Linked DNA regions of Cricetulus griseus. The protein of the gene in region 3 purifies or fractionates together with the protein of the main gene of each other region. This does not show direct contact. Links are inferred from orthologs where the notes say so. Each region holds a gene or a part of one and is shown on either strand. Other genes may lie near its edges.

The links.
Region 1: the proteins of Cops7b (region 3) and Cul4b purify together in Homo sapiens (affinity purification with mass spectrometry; 6 studies listed by BioGRID and IntAct, counting the BioPlex papers as one, with this or other methods). This does not show direct contact. The link is inferred for Cricetulus griseus from reciprocal best matches to the Homo sapiens genes COPS7B and CUL4B.
Region 2: the proteins of Cops7b (region 3) and Cul5 purify together in Homo sapiens (affinity purification with mass spectrometry; 3 studies listed by BioGRID and IntAct, with this or other methods). This does not show direct contact. The link is inferred for Cricetulus griseus from reciprocal best matches to the Homo sapiens genes COPS7B and CUL5.
Region 4: the proteins of Cops7b (region 3) and Dcaf1 purify together in Homo sapiens (affinity purification with mass spectrometry; 3 studies listed by BioGRID, with this or other methods). This does not show direct contact. The link is inferred for Cricetulus griseus from reciprocal best matches to the Homo sapiens genes COPS7B and DCAF1.

Annotation. Positions count from the first base shown.
Region 1 is NC_048604.1:28,553,936-28,561,023, reverse strand, and holds part of Cul4b (cullin-4B), read right to left. Parts: intron 6,473-7,088; coding exon 6,367-6,472; intron 5,053-6,366; coding exon 4,880-5,052; intron 3,625-4,879; coding exon 3,472-3,624; intron 1-3,471.
Region 2 is NC_048597.1:165,390,791-165,398,308, reverse strand, and holds the start of Cul5 (cullin-5), read left to right. Parts: upstream 1-3,057; 5' UTR 3,058-3,533; coding exon 3,534-3,557; intron 3,558-7,518. UniProt on the Homo sapiens protein: Core component of multiple cullin-5-RING E3 ubiquitin-protein ligase complexes (ECS complexes, also named CRL5 complexes), which mediate the ubiquitination and subsequent proteasomal degradation of target proteins.
Region 3 is NC_048595.1:438,274,365-438,281,452, forward strand, and holds part of Cops7b (COP9 signalosome complex subunit 7b), read left to right. Parts: intron 1-323; coding exon 324-571; intron 572-3,517; coding exon 3,518-3,623; intron 3,624-7,088. UniProt on the Homo sapiens protein: Component of the COP9 signalosome complex (CSN), a complex involved in various cellular and developmental processes.
Region 4 is NC_048597.1:215,036,353-215,043,870, reverse strand, and holds the start of Dcaf1 (DDB1- and CUL4-associated factor 1), read right to left. Parts: upstream 3,990-7,518; 5' UTR 3,851-3,989; intron 1-3,850. UniProt on the Homo sapiens protein: Acts both as a substrate recognition component of E3 ubiquitin-protein ligase complexes and as an atypical serine/threonine-protein kinase, playing key roles in various processes such as cell cycle, telomerase regulation and histone modification.

The DNA.
Region 1 (7,088 bases), on a different chromosome or scaffold from region 3:
GGATCTCTGTGAGTTTGAGACCAGCCTGGTCTACAAGAGCTAGTTCCAGGACAGCCTCCAAAGCCACAGAGAAACCCTGTCTCAAAAACAAAAACAAAACAAAACAAGTCTCAAGTTAAGTTAAATGCAGCTGGAGCCCTGTAGTACACTTCTATAATAGCAGTAAGTGGGAAGCCAGAGGCAAGGGGATTGAGAGTAAGAGCTGCTTGGGTACACAGTAAGACACCGTGTCAGCAGACAAGTAACAAAAAACCGGAAATTAACTAACTAAACAATTAACAAATGTATTTTAAAATGCATGAGAATTTATTATATAAACTATATAAAATACTAGACCTAGTAGCATAGGCCTATAATCCCAGCTACTTGGGTGTATGAGGAATGAAGACTGTTACTTCAAGAAGGTTGGCAAAAACAAGTGGGGGTGGATGAGGTTTTTTCTTGGTAGTATAGCACTAACCTAGCATATGTAAGGGGGGTCAGTGGTGGTGAACACCTTTATTCCCAGCACTAAAGGCAGAGGCAGGTGGATCTCTGGGAGTTTGAAGTCAATCTGGTCTACAGCAAGACTTGAAGAAAGTGTGCATATGTAAGGGTCCTACGTTATAGCCCCCAGTACCACATATCCACACAATACTATGAAATTTGATAAAATATCACATTAACTCACACCTGTATGTTTCTGGTTTACTATGAATATGAACTATGTACATAAGTGATTTGGATTTCTGATTCTTGCAGTTAGTTTAAAATTTGTGACAATTTAGAGCTGGACATGGTGGAGCATGCCTATATTCCTAGACTCAGCTACAAAGGGAATTCAAGGTTAACCTGTGATGTATTGGATCCTGTCACAAACAACAACAAAATTCTAAGGCTGGAGAGATGGCACAGAACATGTTAGTGTGTACTGCTCTTGAAGAGGATCCGAGTTCAGCTCTAGCGCCCATGTCAGGTGGTTCAGGACCACCTGTAACTCCAGCTCCAGGTGGAGCTGACACCTCTGTACACAAGTAAACACCCATACAAAGACACATAATTAAAAATAAGCTCTCTAAAGAAATTTATATCATTGCATTGATAATTATACTCATCTCTTGAATTAAAAAAAGCTACTATAATTTGTATATGGCCCATAAAAGTAATGAGAGCATTCTTTGATATGAACAGGTAACTGGTTCTAGAACCCTGACACACCCAAATCTGTCAAGGTTCAGTATCTGCATTTAACTTACTGCACTCTTCCAGTACAACTTAAAAAACATCTCGGCCAGGTATATTGACACATGCTTACAATCCCAGCACTGGAGAAGTTGAGGTAAGAGGATCATGACTTTTGAGGCCAGCCTGAGCTACACAGTCAGACCCTGATATAAATAAATATCTTCACATCACTTATAATACCCAAGATTCAATATAAATGTTATAGAATTTTCTTATACTACTATTTAAAGTCCAAATACTGAAAAGGAAACAAACCAATATTCAATATATATGCAATTTTTCATTAAGATGAGAATCTCATTGCATTACTGAGGTTGATCTCAAACTCCTGGGCTCAAGTAATATTGCTGTCTCATCTGGTAGTTATGAGTACATGCTACTGCATACAGCTAATGCATCTGTTTGGCTTTTGGTTTTGTTTTCTGAGACAGGGTCTCTCTTTGTAGTCCTTGCTATTCTAGAACTCACTATTTAGACCAGACTGACCTTCAAACTCAGAGACCCGCCTGTCTTTGCCTCCCCAGTGCTGGGATTAAAGCATTCACCACTATGCCGAGCCAGCTAATTAATTTTTTTTTTGTTTCTTTTGGTTTTGGTTTTTCAAGACAGGGTCTGTGTAACAGTCCTGGCTGCCCTGGAACCAGCTGGCTTCAAACTCAGAGATCCACCTGCCTCTGCCTCCCAAGTGCTGAGATTAATAGTGTGCATCACCAATGCCTGGCTAGCTAATTCATTTGGAAAGGATGTTTTTAACCTTTGGTTTGTTGAAGTCACAGACATGGAATCAACGGATATGAAGAACTGATTTCAAAGTAAGCCTTGGAACACGTTAAGACCCTGACTAAAAAAACAAAATAAAGCAAAGGAGAGTCAGGCATTGATGGTGCTCGCCTTTAGTCCCAGCACTCGGCAGACAGAAGTAGGCAAACCTCTGGGAGTTCGAGGTCAACCTGGTCTACAGAGTGAGTTCCAGGACAGACTGCAAAGCTACATAGAGAAACCCTATCTCAAAACAAAACAAAACAAAAAAGCAAAGGAGAAAAATAGATAGAGAAGTAAAACTCCATTTAACAACCCTGAGATTTAAATATCAAATGGCTTTGGTTTAATTATGATCAATGTTATAGTGAGTGATCTCTTCCATTCTAACATCAGTAAGCACTCTTGCTGGAGATGAAATGACTAGGTGAGCATGTGAGCAAGTGTGGTAATGAGAAGGCATGAGGTTTAGAGAAGCAGACTACCTTATTAAAAGTAATATTAAAAGTAATAGCTACTACATACCTACATACATACCAAACTTAGTACTACGTGTTTTGTGCTTTCCATCTCACTTAAGCCTCAAAATAATAGTGCGAGGGAGCTGGAGAGATGGCTCAGGGATTAAAAGCACTGGCCGCTCTTCCAGACAACCTAAATTCAATCCCCAGCACCCACATGGTGGCTCAGAACCTTCTGTAATGAGATCTGGGGCCCTCTTCTGGTGTAGAGGTGTGCATGCAGATAGAGCACTCATGAATGAATGAATGAATCTTTAAAAAATGGTGGAGCTAAGTATAATTATCAATTCTAAACAAGCTCAGCAAGATTAAATGCCTTATCAAAATCCAAAGCGCTAGGAATCCTAACAGCCAGGAGTCTATACAACTTCTACCAAATGTTTATTACAAAAGTTTAGAAATCTTTTAAAATTTTGAATAGTCCAGTACACCACCTCACTGTCTATAAATACCTATATTGCTGGACATTTGTATTGGAACATGTCAATACACTGACCAATTTCAGTTTACTAGAAATATTATTAGACATTTTCAAAGGCACTAAAACTACTTTACCACTAAAATACAGCCAGCAGCCTCTGTAACAGATTTGAGAAACATTTATAAGGTAACTAAACAAGATATAACTCAATCTAATAACCAAATATGTCAAATGCCAAGTTATCTCCAGAAAAGAAGATTCTAAAGATACATAGTGAATTAACTTCAAAATTTTCAAAGTCATATTTACTCATTAAACTTTCAAGTACAGGGAGGGGCTTTTGTAAATTGTTTCCCAATTTGTCACAGTTGTATACATATACCAACAACACTCTTTTGTGAACTGTATGTATGACTATAGGAAATAAATTCATGTCCTTCTAAATGGCTTTAAGCCTTTTATCTATATTTGCAAGATTATTGTCTAAAAATCAAATGTATTTTTTCATTTATAACAAGTTCAGTATGGAGACACAGAAACACCTACTTTTACTGGAAATTTCAGCTGATTGTAGACCTCTGAGACAAGAAGATTGTGGCTAAGTGTTTTCCTCATCTTCATAATTCGGACAATCGCAGCATCAATTTGGTATTGTCTATCTTGAAATACTCTTTCTGTAGTGCTTGCTTGTTCTTCAACCTAAAAAGAGTTTTCAAATGAAGTCAAACTTAATTATTAACACAAACTGTACATTAGGGACATAACAGTGTTACCTAAATGGGACCTGATAAATACAGACACAAGAGAAAAAAAACTTGACACATATAGGGCCTTTCTGTTCTAATCACACTGTTCTGTACCAATCAATACAAATAAATCAGTATCTATACAGGTTAAGAAAAAAGATACCACCTTTGAGGACTGGGGAGATAGACTCAGTTGACCAAGTGCCTGCCCTGCAAGCATGAGGACCTGATTTTTAAATTTAGATTTTCGTGAACTCATGTAAAAACTGATTCCTGGAACTCAATACCTAGCCAGCCTAGCCTAGTTAGTGAGTTCCAGGCAAGTAAAAGACCATGACAAGAAACAAGGTGGATAGCTCCTAAGGAATGACACTGGAGGTTGTCCTCTGGCCTTGCCTAAAATTCAAAATGTTCATACCCATTGATCCAAAAATTTACTTTCATGAATTCATCTTAAGGAAAAGATCACAGATTAAGATTCAGATACAGAACTTTTTTAAAAGTTTCAATGGCCATGTACAAGATTATGTAGCTATTTAGCATTCTGTTGATAGTTTACAAACGTGTGGGGGTATGTGCATTATATCAGTGCGGTTAGGGATGTCAGAGAACAACCTTGGGCATCAAGGGTCAGGAGCCTTTGACAAAACAAAACAACCAAACAACTATGTTGACTGTCAACCCTATTATGTTTACTCCTCAACAAAAAGAAACATAGAATCAAACATTGAAATGTACTAGGCTAGATGTGGGCACAGGAAATGTTAACAGTAACAAGCTGTAAATTTCAGGGCTAGAAAGATGGTTCTGCAGTTAAAAGGACCTGGGTTACATTCCAGCACCATTCACACCCATCTATAATTCCAGGTCCAGTTGATCCACTGCCCTCTTCTGGCATATGGGTCTCAGGCCTGATGTGGTGCAGACACACATGAGGCGTAACATTCAAGCACATATAATTTTTTTTTTTTTGGGTTTTCCAGACAGGGTTTCTCTGTAGCTTTGGAGGTTGTCCTAGAACTTGCTCAATAGACCAGGCAGGCTGGCCGTGAACTCACACAGATCCACCTGCCTCTGCCTCCCCGAGTTCTGGGATTAAAGTGAGCCACCACCACCTGGCTGCACATAATATTAATTTGTAGTCTGTAAATTTCTACTAGAAACACATATAAACCTAATATAGTCCAACGAGAGAGCAAAAGGCTTACCGTTTCTTTCATTTGGATTTGATTGATCTTTATCCTGAATAGTTTGTGTTTGAAATCATCATTACAAATGAATTTGTCACCATCTTCGATATCTTTGCCCTTTGGATTTTTAGTGAGAACTCTAGCTTTGCCACAGGCTAGTGATTGCAGGGTTCTCCTTAATTCTCCATCCTCTGAAGAAGAAATAATGCTTAGCAGCATGCACAACACTACATTCAACATCAATTTAATTTATAAACATTCTCTATTAAATTCTTTTTTCCCCATATCACCAACACCTGCTCTTTGTGCTATCCAGTAACATATTTTTCTAGTTGTCTTCTAAAAACATTTGTTACCCCATGCAGACAACTACTAAAATTTCTGATGTAACAGTCCCCTTCTCTAAAGTCAATCACTAAAAGGGCATACCATTTGACTGTTTTATTATCACTCCAGTATGTTCTATTCTCCATTAACCCTCTGCTTCATTGCTACTGACACTACTACTAACCTAATTCAATGAAAACCCCTAGACTCATCTTTTAAGTCCTCCTTCTCCTTCATTCCATATGGCTCTAGTAATTCCATTGCTGTTGGAATCGTTCTACTAGAAGCCCTTTAGAACTTCATATCACAATTATCTTTACAGTTTCTAGGCTAGAATCTTTTCCTGTTTCGGGTGGCTGGCCCTACTAATGCCAGGTAAGTTGTGCAAATAGGTTATTTCCTTTAAGTCACTATAGCTCAGGTTTCAGCTGTATTCATCAGTCTATTTATACATCTTACCTATTGAATTTTATAACTCACCATTCTAAGCTACAAACTTTTCATGCTTCCAACTTACACTACCCAAGCCTTTCTTCATACTAGTTCCTTTATTTCAGATGCCTTCTCTCCAACCAAAATTTAAAGGCCTAACTCAAGTCCCACTTCCTTCCACAATAATCTCTAGCTTCTCTTAACATACTTCTTGTTAGCACTACATACTGGTACTTACTGGTTTTGACATTATTAAGAATACAGAGAAGCCAGGCAGTGGTGGCACACCTTTAATCCCAGCGCTTGGGAATTCACTCTGTGAATTCAAGGCCAGCCTGGTCTACAAAATGAGTGCCAGGACAGCCGGGCTGTTAGAGAAATCCTACCTTGAAAAACAAAACAAACAAAAGAAATACAGGAGGGGGCTGGAGAGACATCTCACCACTGAGGAGTACTTTCTGGTCTTTCAGAAGACCAGATAGATGTCAGTTCCCAGCATCTACATGGTGGCTCACAACCCCCTAACTCAAGCTCTAGGGGATACAATGTCCCCTTCTGGCCTTAACAGGTTCCTGCATGTGTGTTATACATATACTTATATAGGCTTACAATAATGCACATAATTAAATGAATCATCTTTGAAAAATAAAAAGAGTACCGAGGACAGGATTACTTCCTTGTATCTCCCAGAGCTCTAAACACAGTAACTACACAATTGCTTGCTACTTGGGGGATGCAATACAAACCTATCCCAGTAGCTTGCTTGATGTCTTCTAAACTGAATTCCTCCCCTTCATTAAACATTAGCAGCACCAGGGTTTGAAAAAGAGAGACCTGAAGTTCTTTTTTGCCCTATTACAGAAAAAACAAACATCAGCCCATATTTTTAAAACAAATGAATTAATCAAAAACATTTCTTATAGGAAAAGCATTTTTAATTAGTGAGTTAATCATAGATTAAGATTATTCAAAAGCCTTTTTCAGGTGGCAATAAATTGTGCAGTTTGAGGTTTAGGAATGATTCCACAGAAAATGAGGTGGAGGATTAGTTAGCCTATTAATAGGTTTTTTAATAATCTTTATTAAAACAGAACAAAGTAATGAAAATAACTCAGTCATGGGTATCATTATAAATAATCAGCATAAGTAGCAAGAAATTACTATTCTGAATGCATTTTTTTTAGACAGGGTTTCATGCAGCCCATGTTAGACTTAATGCTTTATAGCCAAGAATGTCCTTGAACTCCACAAGGATTACAACCCTGTGCTACTAGGCCCCAGTTTCAAATGTATTTTGACTTTGTTAAGATCAGTAATGATCCCAGCACTCCAGAGGCAGAGGCAGGTGGATCTGTAAGTTCAAGGCCAACCTGGTCTACAAAGCCAGTTCCTGGACAGGATCCAAAGCTACACAGAGAAACCCTGTCTCAAAAAACAAAACAAAAAACAAAAAACAAACAAACAAAAA
Region 2 (7,518 bases), on a different chromosome or scaffold from region 3:
GGCTTTATGTGGCCTTTGGTGGCAACATGGGCCAGGGAAAACCAACAAAGACCTCAGCTGCGGTAGGATCATGGAGGTAGGGTCATGGACCCCAGACATGGCCCAGGCATCACCATGGCCCTGGGTATCAAGCAGACCTCCCCCATCAGCCTATTCCTCTCCTTCATTTCTTGTAGGGAGAGATGTTGGGCCCCAGTCTCCATGAGTTGATAACCACAGGTGCATCCTGTTTCCTAGTCCTGGATTACAGCCTCAGCCGTACTCCACTGACATGAGTTGATAATCACAGGTGCATCCTGTTTCCTAGTCCTGGATTACAGCCCCGGCCTTACCCCACTGGCATAAAAAATACCTAGGAAAACATGAGCTCTTACACCTTGGTTTTTCCACTGTGCTGTAAGTCTGTATATAAGGCTGCTCCCTCCCTGCAAAAAACACAGACACGTACACACATTCTCCTAGCACATACAACCGGATGTCTCTGCTTTTAACTGAATCTCCAGGCTTTTGCCCGATATTCAGGCTTAGTCATGGCTCGGACACCACAATTTCGTCCTTTCTGTCTTTCCAGTGTGTGAACCATTCTGCTTCTTTTTCTCTCCCATTTCTCCACCACATATTTGCTTATTATAATGGGCGCTGGGTGGACCCACGGATGTCTTCCTCCAGCCAGGACCTTGAGGATACTGGCTGGCTAGCCCTGGATTAAGCAGAACTGCATGGGGGAGGCATGGGTTGCTTCCTGTCAGTAGGGCCTTGAGGACACCACTGCTGGCCTGCCTGATCTCCCTTCTATTTCTGCATTATCTGCTTTTTTGTTTTTCCTTCACAGCTCTTCTCGCATGTGAAGTTTAATTAATACCTAAGGTCTCTGCAAGAAGTAATAAATTCTAGCATTCAATATATTAATCTATCAATTTAATGTTTAAAATTTCTAGATTTTGTGTTAGGGGTTTTTGCCGAATTTGCTCAGTAGACCGGTTAGCCTCGAACTCACAGAGGTCCGCCTGTCTCTGCCTCCGAGTGCTGGGATTAAATGTGTGTGCCACCACTGCACAGCTTGCCTGCATGTATGTTTGTGTATCATGTGCATGCCTGGTGCCTGTAGAGGTCAGACAGGAGCCCACTTGTGAGTCCCCTGCAGCTTCTGGAAATCAAATCCAGGTCCTCTGGAAGAGCAGTCAGCACTCTTAATCAGTGGGCTATCTCTCCAGCCTTTATATTTAATCTTTGCAAGAGCTCTATGATGTAGATGCTTTTATACTAATTTCACAAATGAGGAAACTAAGACTGTGGTTAAGTAAATCACTCAATATCTAAGAAGTGGAGATCTTATCCCATCTTAAGCCCATTTTCTTGAGACAGGGTCTCATTGTGTAGCTCTGGTTAGCTGGAACTCACTAGAGTGCTGGGATTAAAAGTGTGAGCCACTACCACCCAGCCAAAAACACACTTATAACAAAGGTTTCTTTTTTTGTGTAACTCTGAGTGTCCTGGAACTCTCTTTGTAGACAAAGGCTGGCCTTGAACTCCCAGAGATACGCTTACCTCTGCCTCGTGAGTGCTGGTATTCAAGGCTGGAATTCAAAGTGTGTGCCACCATCAGTGAGAACTTTCATTTTAAAGTATTCCAGATGGTACATTTTATAAATGACTTATTGCCCCACAAATGCTAGGCAAGCTCTTAGACACACACACTCACACACACACACACACACACTCTCTCTTTCCCCCTGACTCGCCCCACTCCCAGATGATTTAGAATTCATCTTTGTAGCAGAAGGGCATCGAACCTGCAATCCTCCTGCCTTAGCCTCCTGTAAGCTTACAGGTCTTACCCACCAGGCCTGGCAAATATGTAATTTAAAAATATATAATATATAATATATAAATTTTGCAGGGCGGCAGAGTCAGTTTGATCTCTGTGAGTTTGAGGCCAGCCTGGTCTACAAGGAAAGTTCCAGGACAGTCAGAGCTGTTACACAGTGAAACTCTGTCTCAAAAAACCAAAAATAAATAAATGAAATAAATAAATAAAATTCAAGGGTCCATGGAGCTTGCTGGCCACTAGCCTAGTTCAAGGTTCAAGTGACCTGTCTATCTTAAGGCAATGTAGCCAGGGAGCGATAGATGTCTTCATGAACACCTTTATAAAGGTACAAAAGAATGCTGTTAGTGTGGTGGTAGTGATGCTCGCCTTTGGTCCCAGCTCTCGGGAGGCAGAGGCAAGGAGAGCTCTGTGAGTTAAAGGCCAGCAAAGTCTACAGAGGAGTGCCAGGACAGGCTCCAAAGCTACACTGAGAAAACCTAGTTCTAAAAACCAAAAATAAATAAACTCACCCTAAACAAACAAAACATCCCCAACCCCCTAACCAAATGTTAGGAATTTGCATAATGCAATAACAGCCAACCTGTGAGATCCCTATATAAACTCTATTCTCTTGTTTAGAGATTCGTGATTTGAAGAGACACAGTTTGGAGAAAATAGTATAGGATGCTCTAGGTCTAGGATTTTTTTAAAAGAGTTTTTTGTTTGTTTTTAAGATTTATTACATATATACTGTTCTATCTACAAGCCAGGAGAGGGCACCAGATTGAATTGTAGATGGTTGTGAGCCACCATGCGGTTGCTGGGAATTGATCTCAGGACCTCCGGAAGAGCAGTCAGTGCTCTTAACCTCTGAGCCATCTCTCTCCAGCCCCTAGGATATGTTTGAAGGAGTCCGAGATTAATAAACACTTCTTGAACAAGCCGGGCATTTTTGAGCAGAGTGATGCTAGTTAACACGTTCGTACATCCATTTACTAAACGAGTAAATCTTGACTGGGCGCCTTTTCCCCGAGTCAGTCTTTACAGAGGACAGCAGTAAAAAAAAAAAAAAAAAAAAAAACCCTTTCCTGGCTAATCTCATCCAGAGCTGCGAATGAATCGCAGTCCCCGGATCTGGGGCGGCGAGCGGGTGGGGCGGCGCCGGCTCCAGCCAATAGGGGGCGCGCTCCGCCCTGCTCCCTGCCTCCGGACCCAGCGGCTTGCAGGCTCCTCGGTTGCTCCCAAGCACGCCCCCGCCCGCAGCGTCACGTGACGCCACCACGGAACCCAAGGAGCCGGGCCTAAGCCGAGTTAAAAGTCGTTGCCGGCGGCCGCCGCGAGTGCAACCCGAGAGGCTCACCCGGAGACGAGTGTGGCAGGCCCGGGGAGGTAGATGCTACCTTTTCCCGGTCAGGTCGGCTCCCGGTCCCTTGCCACCATTCGCCGCTCGCGTCTCCTTGAGCCTTTGCATGCGCTCTCTCGCGTGAGCAGGCCCCGGTTACCATGTAGCGGGAAAGCCTGAGGGAGCACGGGTGCCGGGTACGAGCTCAGCGCTGACGGCACGCAGCTTCGGCGTGTGTGGCCCCCCTTCCCCCTTCCGCCCCCCGCATCTCTGCCGCGGCCCGCGGGGCCCTGCTGGGAACTCCGGCCTCCCGAGGAGGCCTGGCCCCGAGCGCCGCCAATTCTCGCCGCCGCCTCTCGCGAGAGTCCAAGTTGAAGGAACATGGCGACATCTAATCTGTTAAAGGTAAGCCCCTGTCTCCAGCCGGGTTTCTGCTCGCGGCCGACGCGTTTAGTTCCTGGGTGAGCACCGGGCTCCGAGTGAGCGGCGAGATGTGAGAGTGTCTCAGGCTTGTCCACCGGAAGGGACCCGGGACGGCTGCCCCGAATACCCCGACGCCGGGCCCTGGCCTCGGGGTCCAGAGGCTTCGGTGGTTGCTCCCGCTGACTGACTGACTGACTGACTGACTGACTGACTGACTGGGAGGGATGCTTTCAAGGGACCAACCCAGGCTGCGGGCGACAGCAGTGTCGCTGGGCCCCCGGCGGGCGGCCCAGCCATTGTGACTCTTAGGGTCCGTTTCTTCCGAAGCGAGAGTCAAAGACATAATAGGAAAATTCTCGACAAAATGCTGCCTAGCAGGTTTTGACTAGGACCCCCCCCCCCCCGCTTCCTCCCCGGTTCCTTAATTTCTGTTCTCACTCTGCCTCCAGGAAATGCGAGTCAGATAGCAGTGCCTCCCACTCCGCCCCGTTTCTCCCTTTTCTGCATGTTACATCTTCCCTCCAGTTCTCTTGTTCTTGACTTCATGTTCCCATGCTTTTTGTTCCTCGAGGAACTGTCTCTCCCAAGCCTCGACTCCCCTTAGAGGACATCAGGTGACACCCGATGAAGTGCCACCGTCTTTTTAGCTGGTGGGAAAGTTTTTCTTATCAAAGAAGACATTGGGAAGTTTTTAAGTGTCAAGAAAGGCCCGGGGTTGGGGGATGGGGGGCAAATTCTGTTAAAAACTTAGGTAAGGACTGAGGAAGATATGGGGCAGGTTTGAGCTATTTGTGTTTTTAGTTAAGAGTCCTGTCCTAAAAGTATTGACTGAAATGGGGGTAGTGATTACCTGAGGGAAAATAAACACTGTATTCAGGCTCTGTGGATGAATAATAATAATGAAATAGAGAATGTGCCCTCCCCCCCCCCAAAAAAAAGCAGGGTCTCTTTAGCCCCATCTTGCCAGAATTTGCTGTATAACTCAGCAGGCCTCAAACTCACAGAACTGCCTCTGTCTGTGCTGAGATTGAAGACTTGCATCACCACCCTGGAGAGTCCTTTAAAAGGACCTAGATTCCCTGAATTTGTCTCTTGTTTTTTTCTTTGTTTGTTTTGTTTTGTTTTTTAAGACAGGATTTCTCAGGTAGCCTTGGCTGTCCTTGAACTAGCTCTGTAGAGCAGTGTGGCTTTGAACTCAGTGATCTGCTTGTCTGCCACCCTCTTCCCCAGTGATGGAATAAAAGCCATGTGCCACCACACCCATCTGAATTTCTGTCTCTTAAGAGCTTCATGGTATTGAGTTCCTTAACCTCTGCCCAAGCTTCTTCCTTCAGGAAGATGAAATTATCAGTACCATTTTTCATAGCCCTGTTGTGATCAAATGATTTACTTATGATGCTTTAAAAACAGTGATTGCACTTAATATGCAATTCACTAAAGCACTAGAACTTCTGTGCCTATTCCTATAGGAAAACCATTGGGCAGTGGCAACACACACTTTTAATCACAGCACTTGAGAGGCAGAGCAGGTGGAGGCCAGCCTGGTCTACAAAAACAAGTTCCAGGACAACCAGGGCTGTTAATACAGACAAGTTGTTACCCTGTCTTGAAAAACAGCTAACAAGAAGAAATAAACTAAAAAGAAAAAAGAAAAAAAAAAAGAAGAAAGAAAAACAGGTAAAACTGGGCCTGGGGTTGCAGGTCATTACCAATATGAAGGTCACTGAGGCAGGAGGATCATGAATTCTAGCCTAAACTAGTAGTAGTGAATTTGGAACCAGCTCAGACTACATTATATATAGACTAATTCACAGAAATGATATTACTGACTCTACTCTGCTTTGTTTTTCATAATACTGTAGCAAAATTCTTTTTAACATTTCATTTGTTTGTTTGTTTTTTGTTTTTGTTTTTTCGGGACAGGGTTTCTCTGTAGCTTTGGAGCCTGTCCTGGAATTCACTCTGTAGACCAGGCTGGCCTTGGCTGTCTGCCTCCCGAGTGCTGGGATTAAAGCCACCACTGCTCAGCTTAATCCCAACAACATTCTTAAAGTAGAGGCAGGCTTGATGTCTGAATTCCAGGCCAGCCAGGGCTATTGTCAGATCCTGTCTTTAAAACAAAAAAGAAAAAATAAATAAAAGATAAGAGTCTGAAGTCAGATGTCAAACACACTGCAGAGTTTTTGATGACCTTGTCTTGTGAAATAATAACCATGGGAAAAAGCAAATTTTGGAAATGAATATTATTTAGTATGTGATTTATTTTTTATTTCTTTATAGTTCTGGTTGGTCTTGGTATTTCCTGTATAGATAGATTAGAAAGATGTACACCACCAGGTCTGGCTTATAGTTTAAGATGGAATTTACAGTATGATGGACATAACAAACAGACATTTGATTCTGTTATCTGCACCTCAGTTGCCACATATTCACCTCTTTGAGGTTTTTTTGGAACTTTTTCTCCTTTTGTTGGAAGGTTGAATTCTGAATACATATTGAAAAGTAGTAATCATCCCATCGGTGGTGGATGGTACACACCTTTAATTCTAGCACGTGGGGAGGCAGAGGCAGGTGGATCTCTAAGTTCTGTTGAGGCCAGCCTGGTCTACAGAGTGAGTTCCAGGACAGGCTTCAAAGCTACAGAGAAACTCTGTCTTGAAAAAATTCAAACCAGGGCCTGGAGAGATGGCTCAGAAGTTAAGAGCAAAGGCTGCTCTTCCAGAGGTCCTGAGTACAATTCCCAGCGACCACATGGTGGCTCACAACCATCTATAATGTAAGATCTGGTGCCCTCTTCTTGCATGCATGTCATTGGGTTTGCTAGGATTTAGTTCTGATTTAAAATTTCTTTCATAGAAATTTACTAACACTGTAAATCTCAGGGGTCGCACAGCATGTTGGGCAGAAATCAACCATGGCTTGAGTTAGATCACCAGGTGTGTGTATACATGCTGGCAGAACATTATACATAACAAATAAATTTTAAAAAAAAGAAGTCACTTCCAAAAAAAAAGGCATGCTTTTATATTGCAATTTTATTTTGAGGTTTTATTTTCTGGTTAGATCAAATGAGCCGCCATTGGATCTTGGAAATCTTTTGAATATAGAAAGATGTATAATATATTTTGATATAGAGTTATCACTGGGCTAGGGGAATTAAATCTGACCCCTCTCACTTGGGTACTTTATCTGTTTTTTTTCCTTACACAGTCTGTCTGTAGAACATTTCTAGCAATCTGATAGTGCCCTTTCATCTATTTTAGATTACTTCTGACACTTAATTCTGCCTGTTCTTTTTTCTTTTGCAGTTGTCATCTGGGCTCAGAGTGCTCATTTTCTTCATTTCCAGTTGATTATCCTATTCCATACAGCAACTGTTCAAACATTTTTCACACCTCTCAGTTTTTAGCATATTATCTAGCAATTTAGGCCTGTATTTCTCTTGGCCAATACCACACATTTTTTTCTAGTTTCTCTGTATTGTACTTTTTCAAGTCACCTTCCACCTGTTCTTTTTTAGCCTTCACTGTCTCCCAAGACTTGGTGGCATGTCTCCCTCTCTGCTATCCCTTTTTTCTTTTCCCTTTTCTCACTTCTCTAAATATAAGAAAGTTTGTGTCTTTTGTGTAAACTTAGCCAGTGTCCTGCTTCTGTTCTCAGGCTTTTGGCTGTGTGCTTCTGTGTAGCTCTTCTTTTCCCTTAATTTACCCACCTGGCTATCTTGAAGCTATCAAGTGTAAGAGCATCGATAATATCCTGATTGTCAAACCAGGTTCTTTTTGATAAGCTTCATCCATTCTTGTATTATTGCTCACATTGTCTGCTGTTTTTCTTGTTTTGTGACTTTTTCCCCCCTCCCTCTGTATTTTACTGTTTACCCTGTTTTTCACTGACATATAAATTATTTCTCAGGATTCAATCTTCAACCCTTTCTTTGTTCTGG
Region 3 (7,088 bases):
CAGCATTTTATGCAGTCTTCAGGCCTCCAAAAGGTGGCAGTGTAGCACATACTATATCTCTTTGCTGTGGAAGGCTTGCTTAGCATCTGTCAGAGTATGGATGTGGAGGTTGAGAACTAGGTGAAGTCCAGGATATAGAGAACTAGGAAGGTACTTTCTTGGATGCTGTAGGGTCGTGTTTAGGTGTCACAGGTTCCACAGTTTATTTATCCACTTCCTATTTTCTAAGTTATTGATGATTATCACTGGCCTGCATTGCCTAAGCACAGAGAGACAGCTATTGACTGTGTGGGTAATACTTGAATGTTTTTGTTTTTTTGCAGTGCTTGCCAAGTGGTTTTTGTAACTGTCATATGACCTATCCACAGTGTATCCCCTACTCTGTGCTGCTGAAGGACCTGGAGATGAGGAATCTCCGGGAACTAGAAGACCTTATCATCGAGGCTGTCTACACTGACATCATCCAGGGCAAGCTGGACCAGCGAAACCAGCTGCTGGAAGTGGATTTCTGCATTGGCCGTGACATCCGAAAGAAAGATATCAATAATATTGTCAAGACCTTGCATGAATGGTGAGGCTGCAAGATGGAGGGGAGCTTCTAGTATGCCCTTTGTGCCTCTCTTTACAAAATTGTGACGTTCAGAAGTCAGCCAAGGGTTTGTGATAGGCCTTGCAGGCAGCCAGGAAAACTGGGACCTCAGGACACAGAGACAGAGGGTAGGGACGCATTTGTAATTACAGCTGTATGGCAAAAGGAATCACCCCAGCCTTCCTTGTGCCTGGGTTGTAAAACTGACTTTAAATACAGCAGGTCTGTTTAACAGTGGGCTATAAACTGTTTATGTGGAGATGCAGGTAGACTCTGCATCCTAACTGTGTGGCAGTAGGTCTGTACCTTCCAAACATTAACTCAGTTTGGCCAAGCTCAGAAAGTTAATGTTTTTCAGTAACTTGTTAAGCTAGTTAGTACTGGTGGAACATCGTGAGGGATATATCAGTGAACGGGCTTTTGTGATTTGGAACACAGATGCATAGAATATTTGACAATTGTCTGAGTATATAAAGAATTGGGCAACGGGGTATGGTGGGACATGCCTATAATCCCAGCGCTCAGGGTGCTGAGACAGAAGGATTATGAGTTGGAGGCCAGTTGGAGAATCTAGTTTCCAGCTGACCCCCTGCCCAAAAAAAGTAAATGAATTTAGGAAGAGAACTGGGACTCTGAGATGTAGTCTTATTTTAGTGGAATTTGATATTTGCAAAAGTGATTATATGTTCTATAAGGATTTGCTCTTGGATTTAAATGATTTGGAGCTTATGAAGCCAGAGCTTCATAGGGAACCATGAGGAGGTTTTGAGTGAGAGAGAATTATTGGGAGTGGTGAGACTGTCCCATATAGGCTCGTTGCATGCTGTAGTCATTAGGCAGAGTGGACAACTTTGTGCTGGAAGATAGGGAAACTTGCTTTTTGGGGGGTTGCCTTGGAACTATGTATCCCAGGTTTGAGGGATACATGGCTTACCAGTTTAAGGTTTGCCCTAAACTCTAACTCTGCCTCCCAAGTGCTGCCACACCCAGATTTTTTTTAAGATTTATTTGTTAGTGGTACATGTGTTTAGTCCCTCAGAAGGTAGAGGCAGGCAGAACTCTGGGAGTTGGAAGTCAGCTTCATCTACAGAGTGAGTTCTATAATAGCCAAGGTTATACAGAGAAACCTTGTCTCAGGACTAAAAAAAATGTATTTATTTTTATTTTATAAGTGTCTTCCTATCATGTGTACAAGTGCACTGTGTGTTTTTCTGGTGCCCGTGGAGGTCAGAAGTGGGCATCCGATTCCTGGAACTGGAATTATGGGTGCTTGTGAGCTTGTATGTGACTGCTGGGAACTGAACTGAGATCCTCTATACGAGCAACAAGTGTCCTAACCATTGAGCAATCACTTCATCCACTAAAAGAGACTCACAGAATTCCTTTTCAGGTGTTAGAGGTGATTTAGAAACAGAATTATTGTCCTGAGAGATAAGTACAAATACGGCCAAATGTTGACCACATTGAATAGTAATGGTCGGTATGTGAATATTCATTATATAACTTTTCCAAAACATTTTTTTTTTTTTTTCCCGAGACAGGGTTTCTCTGTGTAGCTTTGGAGCCTATCCTGGCACTCGCTCTGGAGACCAGGCTGGCCTCAAACTCACAGAGATCCGCCTGCCTCTGCCTGCCGGGTGCTGGGATTAAAGGCGTGTGCCACCAATGCCGGCCAAAACTTTTGTTTCTGAGAAAGGATCTCAGTTTATAGACCTGGCTGGTGTTGACCAGTCTAACCTTGACTTCAGAAATCTGTCTGCCTTTGTTTCCTGAGTGCTGGAATTAAAGGCTGTGTCACCAAGCCCAGTCTATTTTTAAAATTTTTAAATAAAAAGTGGGAAAATAAAAGTAAGTTGTTGGTAACTAGGAATTAGCTTCAAATTCTCAAGAAAAAGGCAGTCTCTAAAATAGTATGCTTTTAGGAAATGTAATTTTTCTGTCGTAGAAAGGGATCAGTCAGTGTTACCTGTAGTTTGTCCCTCCTTCCATCTTAGTCTGTACAATTGTTTCTTTTTTTTTCTTTTTTTTTTTAATTTTTAAATTTTAATTAGAAAGAAGATTATTTTACATGGCAATCCCAAGTCCTTCTCGTCCCCTCCTCTTTGACTCCCCAACTAACACCCTACCTATCCCATACCCTTTCTGTTCCCTAGGGAGGGTGAGGCCTTCCATAGGGGGTCTTCAGAGTCTGTCACATCCTTTGGGATAGGGCCTAGGGCTACCCCCTTGTGTCTAGGCTCAGGGAGTATCCCTCCATGTGGGATAGGCTCCCAAAGTCCATTCCTATGCTAGGGATGAGTACTGATCCACTACAAGGGGCCCCATAGATTTCTGAGTTCTCCTCACTGACATCCACATTCAGGGGGTCTGGATCAGTCCTATGCTGGTTTCCCAGCTATCAGTCTGGGAACCAAGAGCTCTCCCTTGTTCAGGTCAGCTGTTTCTGTGGGTTTCACCAGCCTGGTATGGACCCCTTTGCTCATCATCCTCCTTCTCTGCAACTGGATTTCAGTTCAGTTCAAGGTTTAGCTGTGGGTGTCTGCTTCTACTTCCACTAGCTGGTGGATGAAGGCTCTAGGATGGCATATAAATTAGTCATCAGTCTCATTATCAGGAGAGGGCATTTAAGGTAGCCTCTCCTCTGTTGCTTAGATTGTTAGTTGGTGTCATCTTTGGAGAGCTACAAAATGTCTGGAGAGCTCTCCAGACATTTCCTTAGTGCCTGATGTGTATGGCCATACCACCCAGAACACACCAAATCTTGTCTGTACAACTGTTTCTAATGGGCTGCAAAGATGGGAAACTGGGGCTGTATTCTAAGAAACTCCCCACAAGCCACTGTATCTATGAACTTGTTTGGAAGGAGAGAAGGGACTGCTGTAACCATTTGGCTTCACTGCTATTTATGGCTGGGTGTCTCCGTTGCAGGTGTGATGGCTGTGAGGCAGTTCTGTTGGGCATTGAACAGCAAGTTCTGAGAGCCAACCAGTACAAAGAGAACCACCACCGGACTCAGCAGCAGGTGGAGGCAGAGGTAAAGAGAAATGTTACATTCGTTCTCCTCTTTAGGGTGCTCCTAGATACTAACTAGTTTGAAGTGTTTTTGTTTTTGTCATGTGCTTTCATTTGAATGCAACAAATAGCCCCTAAACATGTCTTGGGTTTGATACTGGAATGTAGGAATTAATAGAGACGATAGAATGTGTAATTCTCCAGTGTACACACACTTTGCAGTTACTGAGGAAGAGAAATGTTGGAGATGTGTTTTAAAAGTGGATAGACAGGAGCTGGAGAGATGGCTCAGCAGTTCAGTGGATTCATTGCTCTTACAGGACCTAGGTTTGGCTCTTAGCACCCACATGGCAGCTCATCACCTGTAACTCCAGTTTCAGGGGATCCAATGCCTTCTTCTGGCCTCCATGGCTCTCACATGTACACAGATGTACACTCAGGCACACTCATATGCACATAAAATAAAATATTAAAAACCATTGAAATGTGAAAGAAATGAGGAAAGGGCAAAGTCACCTCTTCATACCAGTTAAAATAACCCGTTAATTACTAGTTTTTGTTTGTTTGTTTTTTGAAACAGGGTTTTTCTGTGTGGTCCTGGCTGTCCTGGAACTTGCTTTGTAGACCAGGTTGGCCTCGAACTCACAGAGGTCTGCCTACCTCTGCTTCCCAAGTACTGGGATTAAAGACGTGTGCCACCACCACCTGGCCTTAAGTACTAGGTTTTTTTTTTTTTTTTAAATTTTATTTTTTAAAACATTTTTTTTAAATTTTATTTTACAAACCCATCCCAGTTCCCCCTCCCTCCCCTCCTACTTCGCCCACCTTTCCCTCCTCAGAGAGGGTGAGGCCTCCCATTGGGGGGGGGGGGTCAATAAAGCCACATTGAGTTGAGGCAGGACCAAGGCTCTTCCCTCTGTATCTAGGCTGAGCAAGGTATCCCTCCAAAGGGAATGGGCTCCAAAAAGCCACTTCATGCACTGGGGATAAATCCTGGCTCCACAAGTACTAGCTTACTAGGAAACTTAGAGCAGACTGATGTAGGTGAAGAGGGCAGAGTGCAGAGCCTTTTTGATGGTTCTCATCATCCCCTGGCTGAGCCATGCCTCAGTTTACGGCATCCTCGCCTGAACACATATCTACAAAGAGCAAAGGAGATTCTGTCATAGCCTTCTGTGGTGTTGTTTCTCTTATGCTTGACTCAGATTTATAAGCATTTTTTCAACTGAGTAGGTGAGATATATTTTTTCCATTTGTCCTTAAATTACATTGCTGTTCTCAGAGAGGAGAAACTTGATGTTTTCCTTCCAAATCTTAGAGCGACTGCTTTCTGGTGAGTTTTGCCTTCTAGAGCCTCCCTCCGAGTTCAGTCACCTTATGACAAACTGCCTGAGAATTCTCTCGTTTAGCCTTTTATATAAGTAACATTATTTAAATATAGTTCAGCATACCTGGGGGAGACAGAATACAATAGTATCGTTCTAAGGCTTTGCGATGTCTCTGAGGAGGCATTCTGGAGGGAAGGAAGGATGGCTGCAGCACCACAAGGTCCCTCTTCATTGCATTTGCTTTGGGAATCTATTTTTCTTTATATTTGAATGTGCCTGTGTATGGTGTTGTGTGGAATGTTAATATATAGCTATTGCTACACATTCACAAAATAGGCTATGTTCCCCTCACATAGGTAATAGAACAAGAGTAAGTGCTATTTTTTATTGTGTAGAAAATCCCTCAGGAGTTAAGTTGTTACAGTGTGCTAAATCCATGCCTCCTAGGTGCCTTATAGAGAGCAATTCTCACCATCTTCATAGCATTTCCCGTGGGCTTGATTTCTGTTTGCTCTTTTTGATTTTTGCTTGCTTTTTAAAATTCATCCCAGGCTGGCTTCAAGCTTTCTATTGTCCTTCTTCAGCCTCTGGAGTACTGGGACTATAGTTAGCTGTCACCACACCTGTCTGTCTCCCACACCTGCCCTAAGCTCTCCCATTCCCTCTCCCAAAGGCAGTTTCCTCCCCTGGGGAGCTCTTTTGTCTCTTGCTCATCTTTAGGGTCTCTGATCTCTGATGGTACCAGGCTACATTTTGTTAACAGGTGTGCCCCACTGAGAAATTCCTGATGCCTGTGCTTTGAGAAGCTCTATGAACTCTAGGTTTCTCGGGGGTGGGGGTGGGGTGGGACAGAGGCAGCCTCTAAGCCAGTCCCTTGAGGAAGGAAACCTGAAAGATTTAGGTCAAAGAAGACACACTTGTGGGAGTACTTGTTATCAAATGGGTTGGATAGATGGTGATGTAGATGACTGGGTACCTTAAAATCTTTGATGCTAAAATGGGTTTAGCTGGTAGACCTGCCTAGTAGCCATTCTTGAGTCCTGGACATGGGTATCCACACTCAGTTCGGTACTGCCTGGCCAAAGCACTAGTTATCATTGTCTATGTTTCTGTCTGTCACCTATTTTTCTTCCTTTCTGTGTATATTTGTGGGTACAGGTGCACAGAGAACCACCTCAGGTGGCTTTCCTGGGTACTCTCCTACTTTTTTTTTTTTTAAACTGAGTCTCTCATTGGCCTGGAAATCTCCAAGTAGGCCAGGCTGACTGGTCAATGAGGGCCAGGGGATCTGTCTCTGCCACCTGAGCACTGGGATGTAAATGTCTTCTACTATGCTTGGTACTTTGTGTATGGGTTCTGGAACCAAATTCAGGTCCTTGTGCTTGCAAGGTAAGCACTTTGCTCAACCATGTTATCGCCTTAGCCAGGTAGGTGGATTTTTTAAAAAAGCAGAGTTGTGATTTTTATTAAAAGACTGTCTTTTAGACATGGTCTCACCATGTAGTCCTGGCTAGCCTACAACTCACTATATAGATCAGGCTGGCCTTGAACTCACACAGAGCTGCCTACTCTCATCTCCCCATTGTTAGGATTAAAGGTATGTGCCACCATGTCTGGCTAAAGACATTTAAAAAAGATTTCACTTTTATTTATGTGTCTATTGTGTGTCCATATGAGTGTATGCCACATGCATTTGGGTATCTGAGGAGGCCAGAAGAGGTTGTCAGATCCCCTGCAACTATGGGAGGTTATGAGTTGCCAGATGTGGATGTTGGGAACTGAACTAGGGTCCTTTGCAGGAGTAGCAAGTATTCTTAACTGCTGTGCCATCTCTCCAGCCTCAAGCTGAAGAAACTTTTGAACATCAGTAAAATGTATTCCCAAATCCTGAAAAGCACTGAAATCTGAAACACCCCAGGTTTGAGTCATTTCAGATACTCAACCTCCATAGTGATCCTGATTCAGTATGCAACTTGCATCCATTTGACCTGGAAAGCTCACTCTGTGATGTTCCCACAGTGTGCAGAGGTAAATAGAAGGCTATTTATACCAGTACCAAACACTAATTCTTTTTTTTTTAGAATTTTATTTATTATGTATACAACATTCTGCTTCCATGTATATCTGCACACTAGAAGAGGGTACCAGATCTCATAACA
Region 4 (7,518 bases), on a different chromosome or scaffold from region 3:
TGTTTCGAAAAACCAAGAGTTGTAGCAGTCATGGTGTCTCTTCACGGCAATAGAAACCCTAAGACACTCATGTAACCCAAGGTTTGCTGGGTTGTTTGTTTGTTTGTTTTGAGACAGTGTCACTATGTAACTTGGGCTTGAACTCAAATTCATGATTGTTCAGCTTCAAGTTACATGAGTATTTAGATTACAAGCGTGCACCACCATACCTACTACATTAACATACTATTTTCAAGGTTCTTCCACATATTAGCACAATTTAAAGAAAAAAAAAAGTTTTTAGCACTCGGGAGGCAGAGGCAGGTGGATCTCTGTGAGTACGAGACCAGCCTGGTCTATAAGAGCTAGTTCCAGGACAGCCTCCAAAGCCACAGAGAAACCCTGTCTAGAAAAACCAAAAAAAAAAAAAAAAAAAAAAAAAAAAAAAAAAAAAAAAAAAAAAAAAAAAGTTTTTAAAAGCACAAGAAAATAGCTGGGGCCAGATGGTAGTGGTGCACACCTCTAATCCCAGCACTTGGGAAGCAGAGTCCTCTAAGCCACACTCTCTGTGATTGTCCATCTTCTCTCCACTCGAACACAGAGATGGAGACTGGCCTAGGGGCTTGGAAAATCCAGGCAAGGCTGGAACAGCTCATTTCCTGCATGAGGAAAATGCAGTCAAGCCCAGACCTCCTTTCTACCCCATTCCCCAACTGTCATTAAAGGCACATGCCTTTAATCCCAGCACTTAGAAGGCAGAGGCAAACAGATCTCTGTGAGTTTGAGGCTAGCCTGGTCTACAAGAGCTAGCGCTAGGACAGGCTCTAAAGCTACATAGAGAAACCCTGTCTTAAAAAAAGAAAACAGGGAGTGGACATGACACATGCCTTTAATCCCAGCACTTGGGAGTTCAAGACCAGCCTGGTCTATACAGCAAGTTCCAGGACAACAAAGAAACACCCTGTATGTGTGTGTGGAGGGGGTATAGAATGAAGGGGAATTCAAGGACATTATAACAGTAAAATTTTAGAATTCAACTTAGAAACACACACAAGGTTGCAGATCCAGGACAGTGGTAGAGCATTTGCATGTTATTATAAAACCCTAGGTCTGAATTCTACCTTATATTAAATAAAAGCCAGTCTGGTGATAGTGCATGTCTTTAATACCAGCATAGGCAGGCAAATCTGAGTTTGAGGCCAGTCTGGTATAGAGTGAGTTACAGGACAGCCAGGACTACACAGAGAGAAACAATGTCTTGAAAAAACAGCCAGGAGGTGGTGGTGCATGCCTTTAATCCCAGCACTCCATAGGCAGATCAAGTTTGATCTCTGATTTCGAGGCCAGCCTGGTCCATAGAGCACTTCCAAGACAACCAGGGCTATACAGAGAAACCCTGTCCTGATCAACTTTTTTTTTAATGTGCATTGGTGTTCTTGTCTGCGTAAGGGTATCGGGTACCCTGGAACCGGAGTTACAGACAGTTGTGCGCTGCCATGTGGTTGTTAAGAAAGAACCCAGGTCCTCTGGAAGAAAAGCCAATGCTCTGAACCACTGAGCCATCTCTCCAGCCCCAAAACCCTGTCTTGAAAAACAAACAAAAAGATAATGTGCCAAAGAATTTAGAAGTGATGTGCCTACAACCTGAAGTAATTCCACAAAATAAACACAGAGACAGAATATACAACAAAGCGGTTAACTGGTGAAACTAAAGATAATCACTTCATTTAGCTTTTCTACCGAAAGGGATTTTTGGTAAGATCCTGACTCAAAAATCAAGCTGGGCCGGGTGGTGGTGGCGCATGCCTTTAATCCCAGTACTTGGGAGGCAGAGGCAGAGGCAGAGGCAGGCGGATCTCTGTGAGTTTGAGTCCAGCCTGGTCTACAAGAGCTAGTTCCAGGACAGCCTCCAAAGTCACAGAGAAACCCTGCCTTGAAATCCCCCCCAAAAAGAAAAATAGGTTCTATTCTACACTATACTTAATAGAAGATTCAGCAAAACTGTCCCCAAATATAAGATAAAGTCTGTTAAAATAGATCCTGTGCCACGAAGAAAAAGAGGGAAGACAGCACTCCTTCAGGAAAGTTGCAACCCTTACTTAAAAGAAGTAAAAGGTGTAGGTAAATGATAAGGCCTGTCCCTGAGACTCTAAATTCAATTCCTAGCACAAAGAAAGAAGGAAGGGAGGGAGGGAGGGAGGGAGACAGGCAGGTCAACTTGAGCTTGTGGTGCACACGTGTATCACAGAACTTATAAAGCTGAATGAGGCACATTCACAAGTCTGAGACCAGCCTGGGTTACAGAGACTCTATTTCAAAAGCCATAAGGGAGGAAGAGAGCCCTGGGTCAATCCCCAACACCACAGGAGAAAGGGGAGAAATTCCGAATTTACAGCTTCAAGCAAAACCTTAACACTATGACACATAATCACATAACTATTACTGTCCTGTGTACTTTATGAAAACAACAGTAGTTATAAACCAACTCCAATCACTTCAATTTAACATGGAGCTCGTTTTATTACATTTTATTAAATTTAATAACTGAACAAGACAATGTAAATAAAATGTTATGCTCAAGAAATGTGTAAAATTTCCTCATATTACCTTAACACCCAAAAATATACCCCTACTCGAAAACTGTTAATGAAAAACTGCTATATACAAACACAAATCTTGACATCTGGAAGAAATATACTGTATCAACTCCTAAAGTCAAAACAGGTTTATAAAAGCCTTAAAGGTAAATGCCAGGAAACACGGGCGGAGGGGGTGGGGGGAAGCCTTCAAGTGATGCTACCAATGAACCTCTCCAACTACAGCATTAACAAAGGGCTTGCAACAGGATGATAGTGCTACAATAAATTAATAATTAAAACACGCAGAATAGTTAAAAGGCTTCACAGGAAAGAGATACAAGAAACTGGCAGACGGGGGCGTTAATAGTGCACTGGGGGGGGGAGGCAGAGGCAGGCAAATCTCCGAGTTTGAGGCCACCCTGGTCTACAGAGCCAGTTCCAGGAAGAAGAGAAAGAGAGCCAGGAGTGGGGGAGACAGACAGAGGGGGGCAACAGGAGGCAGACAAAAACGAGTGGTAGTCATTTATTCAAAACTCTAAGAGTTAATTCCTCAACAAATGGAAAAAACAAAGAGCTATCACTGCAGTAAGAGCAAACAGACCGACACCTTCTAGAAACAGGACAGAGCATGGCAAACGGCCCGCCCACCAGAAAACAACTAAGAGCCCTGGGTACGAGCTCCCAAGAAGCCTGGCAGGCAACCTTAGGTCGGCACCCACACACCTCTCTGCCCCTCGGCTCACCACTGCATGGTAGGAGTAGGAGGGGCTCCCGGAAAGCTCCTCCCCCTAGCCCTGTCCAAGAGCAGGGCGGGTGCAAGTGGGAGGTGGCACGAAGCCGGAGGAGGGGAAAGCCCGCCCAGGTGACTGAAGCCGGAGGCGGGGACACAGTCCGGGAAGGGGTCCACCGTGCGGCAGGGGAGAGGGAGCCCCTCGGCTCGTCAGAGACTCGGAGCGGACCAGAGAAAATGAAAGAGCACCTCCTTCAGGTAGAGGCGGGCACATCCCTGCCCCCCACTCCGGGCGGAAGAGTTACTCTAAGGAAGCTTCTTTGGAAGACTGGAGGAAGAGCCTGAGGCCCCGCCCCCGGGCCAGGGATCAGGAGGAGGAAAGTCCTGTCAGGCCCCAGGCCCAGCCTCCCGGGTGGTCCCGCCCGCCCCCTCGCCGCCGCCGGCAGCCGAAGCAGGTGCCGCCCCTCCCCCAGCGAGGCGCCCACTCTCCCGCCCAGCCGGCCGCGCGCTCGCTCTCCTCGCGCTCCCCACAGAGAGTCGGCTCCTTCCTGTCCCCGCTTACCTTCGCGGGCGGCTCCGCCGCTTCTCCCCGCACCCCTCCAGCGGCCACAGTTCACACACACCGCCTCTGGTCCCGCACTCACTCTCCCTCACTCACACACACAGCGCGACCACGGCTCCTGAGCGGCCCACATATTATGCGTCACTCGCATGTTACGTGCAGTGCGCGCGCGCGCGCGCTTGGCGCGAGGCTCGCGAGCTGGGAGGCGGGGGGAGAACGTCGGCGCGAGCGGAGGAACATCATAGGGCTCCTGGGAAATGAAGTTCCGCTTTTAAGGGCGGGAAGGGCGGGGGGATAGAAAGACCAGAAAGCACCTCCCCAGCGCATTGGCTTCTGGGATCCGTAGTTTTCTGTATTATACGTAAATTGCTGTGTATTTATTGGCTGTTTCCAAAAGCGGAAGCGAAAAGTGAAGGAAGGAATCGATCTTTCTAAAGCCCGGCAGACTACCGCTGCCTGATAACTTTGCCAATACGTAATTCTACCCTGTGTAATCGGTAAGGCTCAGTAGTACTGGTATTGACACATAAGCCTTATAATATGCCAAAAATGAATCTCGCACAAATGTATCAAAAGTTGCAGTACTCATTAATAAGAAACTCACTGGTTTTCCTTTGTCTTTCTGTTCAAAACATACTCGGCAAGAATCAAAACAGCATTCGTTGCTACGTATTTTATGTGAGGAAGAAAAATTAAAAAAAAAAAAAAGTCTTCAGCCAAGACTTGACTAACCACAGAGGTCATCTAATTCAATTTCTTAATTTTAAAGTTGAGGAAAGTGAAACCCAGAGTAAATGACTCGCCTAATATCACCAACCAAAGTGAAGAAGCATCAGGGGATCTGACTTTGACCCACAGATCCTATGTGAGGGCATGAAAGATAAACTCCACAATTGAGCAGAATCTTGACAAGACCTACCCAGACGTCAGGCCTGATGCAACTCATTATTGCTCTTGGAATTCTGAGTGTGTTCTGTGCGTTTCCATAGAGTTCTCGCAGTCAATACTTTCACATGGAGATTGTAAGACACTGTGGACCTATTGTTGTGAACAGATTCTATGGCTGTTAAGCCAGTATCAGCCAGGCAGTAGTGGCATTTGTGAGTTCAGGGCCAGCCTGGGCTACAGAGCAAGTTCCAGGACAGCCAGAGCCAGGGCTACACAGAGAAACCCTGTCTTGGGGGGAGGGAGGGAGGGAGGGAGGAAAGAGAAGAAGCCAGTATCCCAGATTTCAAACTCAAGTCCACCACCACCCTATCCCACCCACCTGAGTTCTCCCCCTTACTTGTGTAGCTTAGAGTAACAAGCAGCTAAAAGTAAAAATTCTAGAGGGTGATGGCAGTGCCACAGGCATGTAGCATGTCTTCAGTCACTCCTCTTGCCACAGAACAGCTTTCCCCTGTGCTTCTGAAATCTCTGGTCTCTTGCTGTGATGACCATTATCATTCAATTTGTCTTTACAGCAGGCCTGGCTTGCATCAAGACCAGGGCAGGTAATGCCAGCCAACTTTATGGAGGAGAAATCTGAAGGAGTAAGGTTGAATCAAGATACTGAGTTTTGTTGGACATGATGTCACATGCCTTTAATCCCAGTACTCATGAGGTTAAGGCAAATGAATCCCTGAGTTAGATATCATCCTGACCTGCACATCGAGTTCTAGGATAGCCAGAGCTACATAATAGAGAGACCCTGTCTTGAATGACAAGACAAGTGAACAAAAGATACAGATTTGGGGGCTGGAGAATGGCTCCACAATTAAGAGCACTTCTCTTCCAGAGGACCAGGATTTGATTCCCAGTATCCACATGGCAGCTCACAGATCCAGGGGATCAGATGCCCTCTTTTGGCCTCTGGATATCATGCGTGCTTGTGGTGCACCAACACACAGACAAAACACTTATACACATAAATCTTTAAATTTCTTTTTTTTTCTTTGTATTTTTTTTTCAAGACAGGGTCTCACTATGTAGCTGTAGCTGAACTGGACCTCCCTATGTAGACCAGCTCTGACTTCAAAATCAGAGATCCACTTGCTTCTGCCTTCTAAGTGCTGGGATTAAAGGCTTGTGCCACTGTGCCTAGCTAAATTCTTATTTAAAAAAAAAAAAGACAGTCTGGGAGTGGTGGCACACGCCTTTAATCCCAGCACTCGGGAGGTAGAAGCAGGCAGACCTTTGTGCCAGCTGATCTACGACGTGAGTTCCAGGACAGCCAGAGCTGCTAACACCGAGAAACCCTGTCTCAAAAAACAAACAAACAAAGACATGGAGTTCACAATACCTACAATACTACTTGAGGCAGCTTTCCTGCCCTACCTCCCTGGGCTTTGAACCCAAAATGTACAGGGATGGATCCCCTAGGTATCCTCCCCTAATACCTTGGATACCTTTGGTCACCTCTAAGAGCCCTTGTGAGAACCCAAAAGTAAACTTTCAAAGTCACTGCCTTATTCTGTCACCAGATGGCACTATTCCACTTTAGGAACCCAGTGTAGGGAGCACTGGGTTGGTGGTGGTCCTAAGGGGCATCTAGGGGAGAACTGGGGGAAGCTAGAGTCTGGGACACTGGAGAAGTACAGCAGTACAGGGTCTGCCTAGGAGCAACTCCCTCAAGATTGTCCACCCTAAACTAGTGATTGTGGTGATAGCTTGCTTGTACAGATAAAGGCTGTCTGAAGGTCAGAGAATGGAGTTTGCCACTAGCTAACCAGAGAGGTCTTGGAGGTCTGTATAGACAGGAAGTGAGGTACTGCATGCCTATAATCCCAGTACTTTGAGTTGAGAGATAGGGATCAGAAGTTCAAGATCATCCTCAGCTACCTAACATGTTTGAGGCAAACCTAAGACACATGAGACCTTGTCTCCCAAGAAAATACCAAAATCTCTACCCTGTAACTACCGCAGCCCTCCTTCCCCTACTGCAAACACCAGGTAAACACACAGTCACATGCCTGCAAGCACTCCAGACTCCCATCCTGGGAGGAGCAATGAGGTGGCACCCAGGCTTCCCTAGCTACATATCCCTAGGTGAGCATTGGCATAGTTCAGAGAAAGGGTGTTACCTATATTGCCATTTGCAAAAGCATGTGCATCTGTGTATTGGGCGCCAGTGTTTACTGTCAACATTTTCACACCTAAGCGCATCTGAACACAAAACCACAGATAGTCCAGGCCTGAATACCTAGCTTGATTCTGACACATTGATTCTGAATTCTTAAAGAATTGTTCTGGTTCATTTGTTTATTTTTGCTTCTTTGGTAGAATATCTGTGGGCTTTGTCCTACCCTCCTCTACACATTCCTTCCTACCTTGTGGTACAACTAAGACAGAAACCCCGAGCCTGGCAGTGGTAGTGCACAGCTTTAATCCCAGCACTCAGGAGGCAAAGACAGGTAGATCTCTGTTGAGTTTGAGGCCAGCCTGATCTACAGAGCAAGTCCTTGAACATCCAAGTCCACACAAAGAAACCCTATCTCAAAAAAAAAAAAAAAAAAACACAAGAAAGAATAGGAGGAAGTGGAGGAGACCCACAGCTGAAAGAGGGAGGAATCATACAGAGCTCCCCAGAATCCGAACAGGGCAAGAGGAGCTCCAGCTCTGTCCCCAGAATCAAGGGTTACAGTCTTAGACATAATCTACCTCTCCCTGTCCTAAGCATGCTCATTATG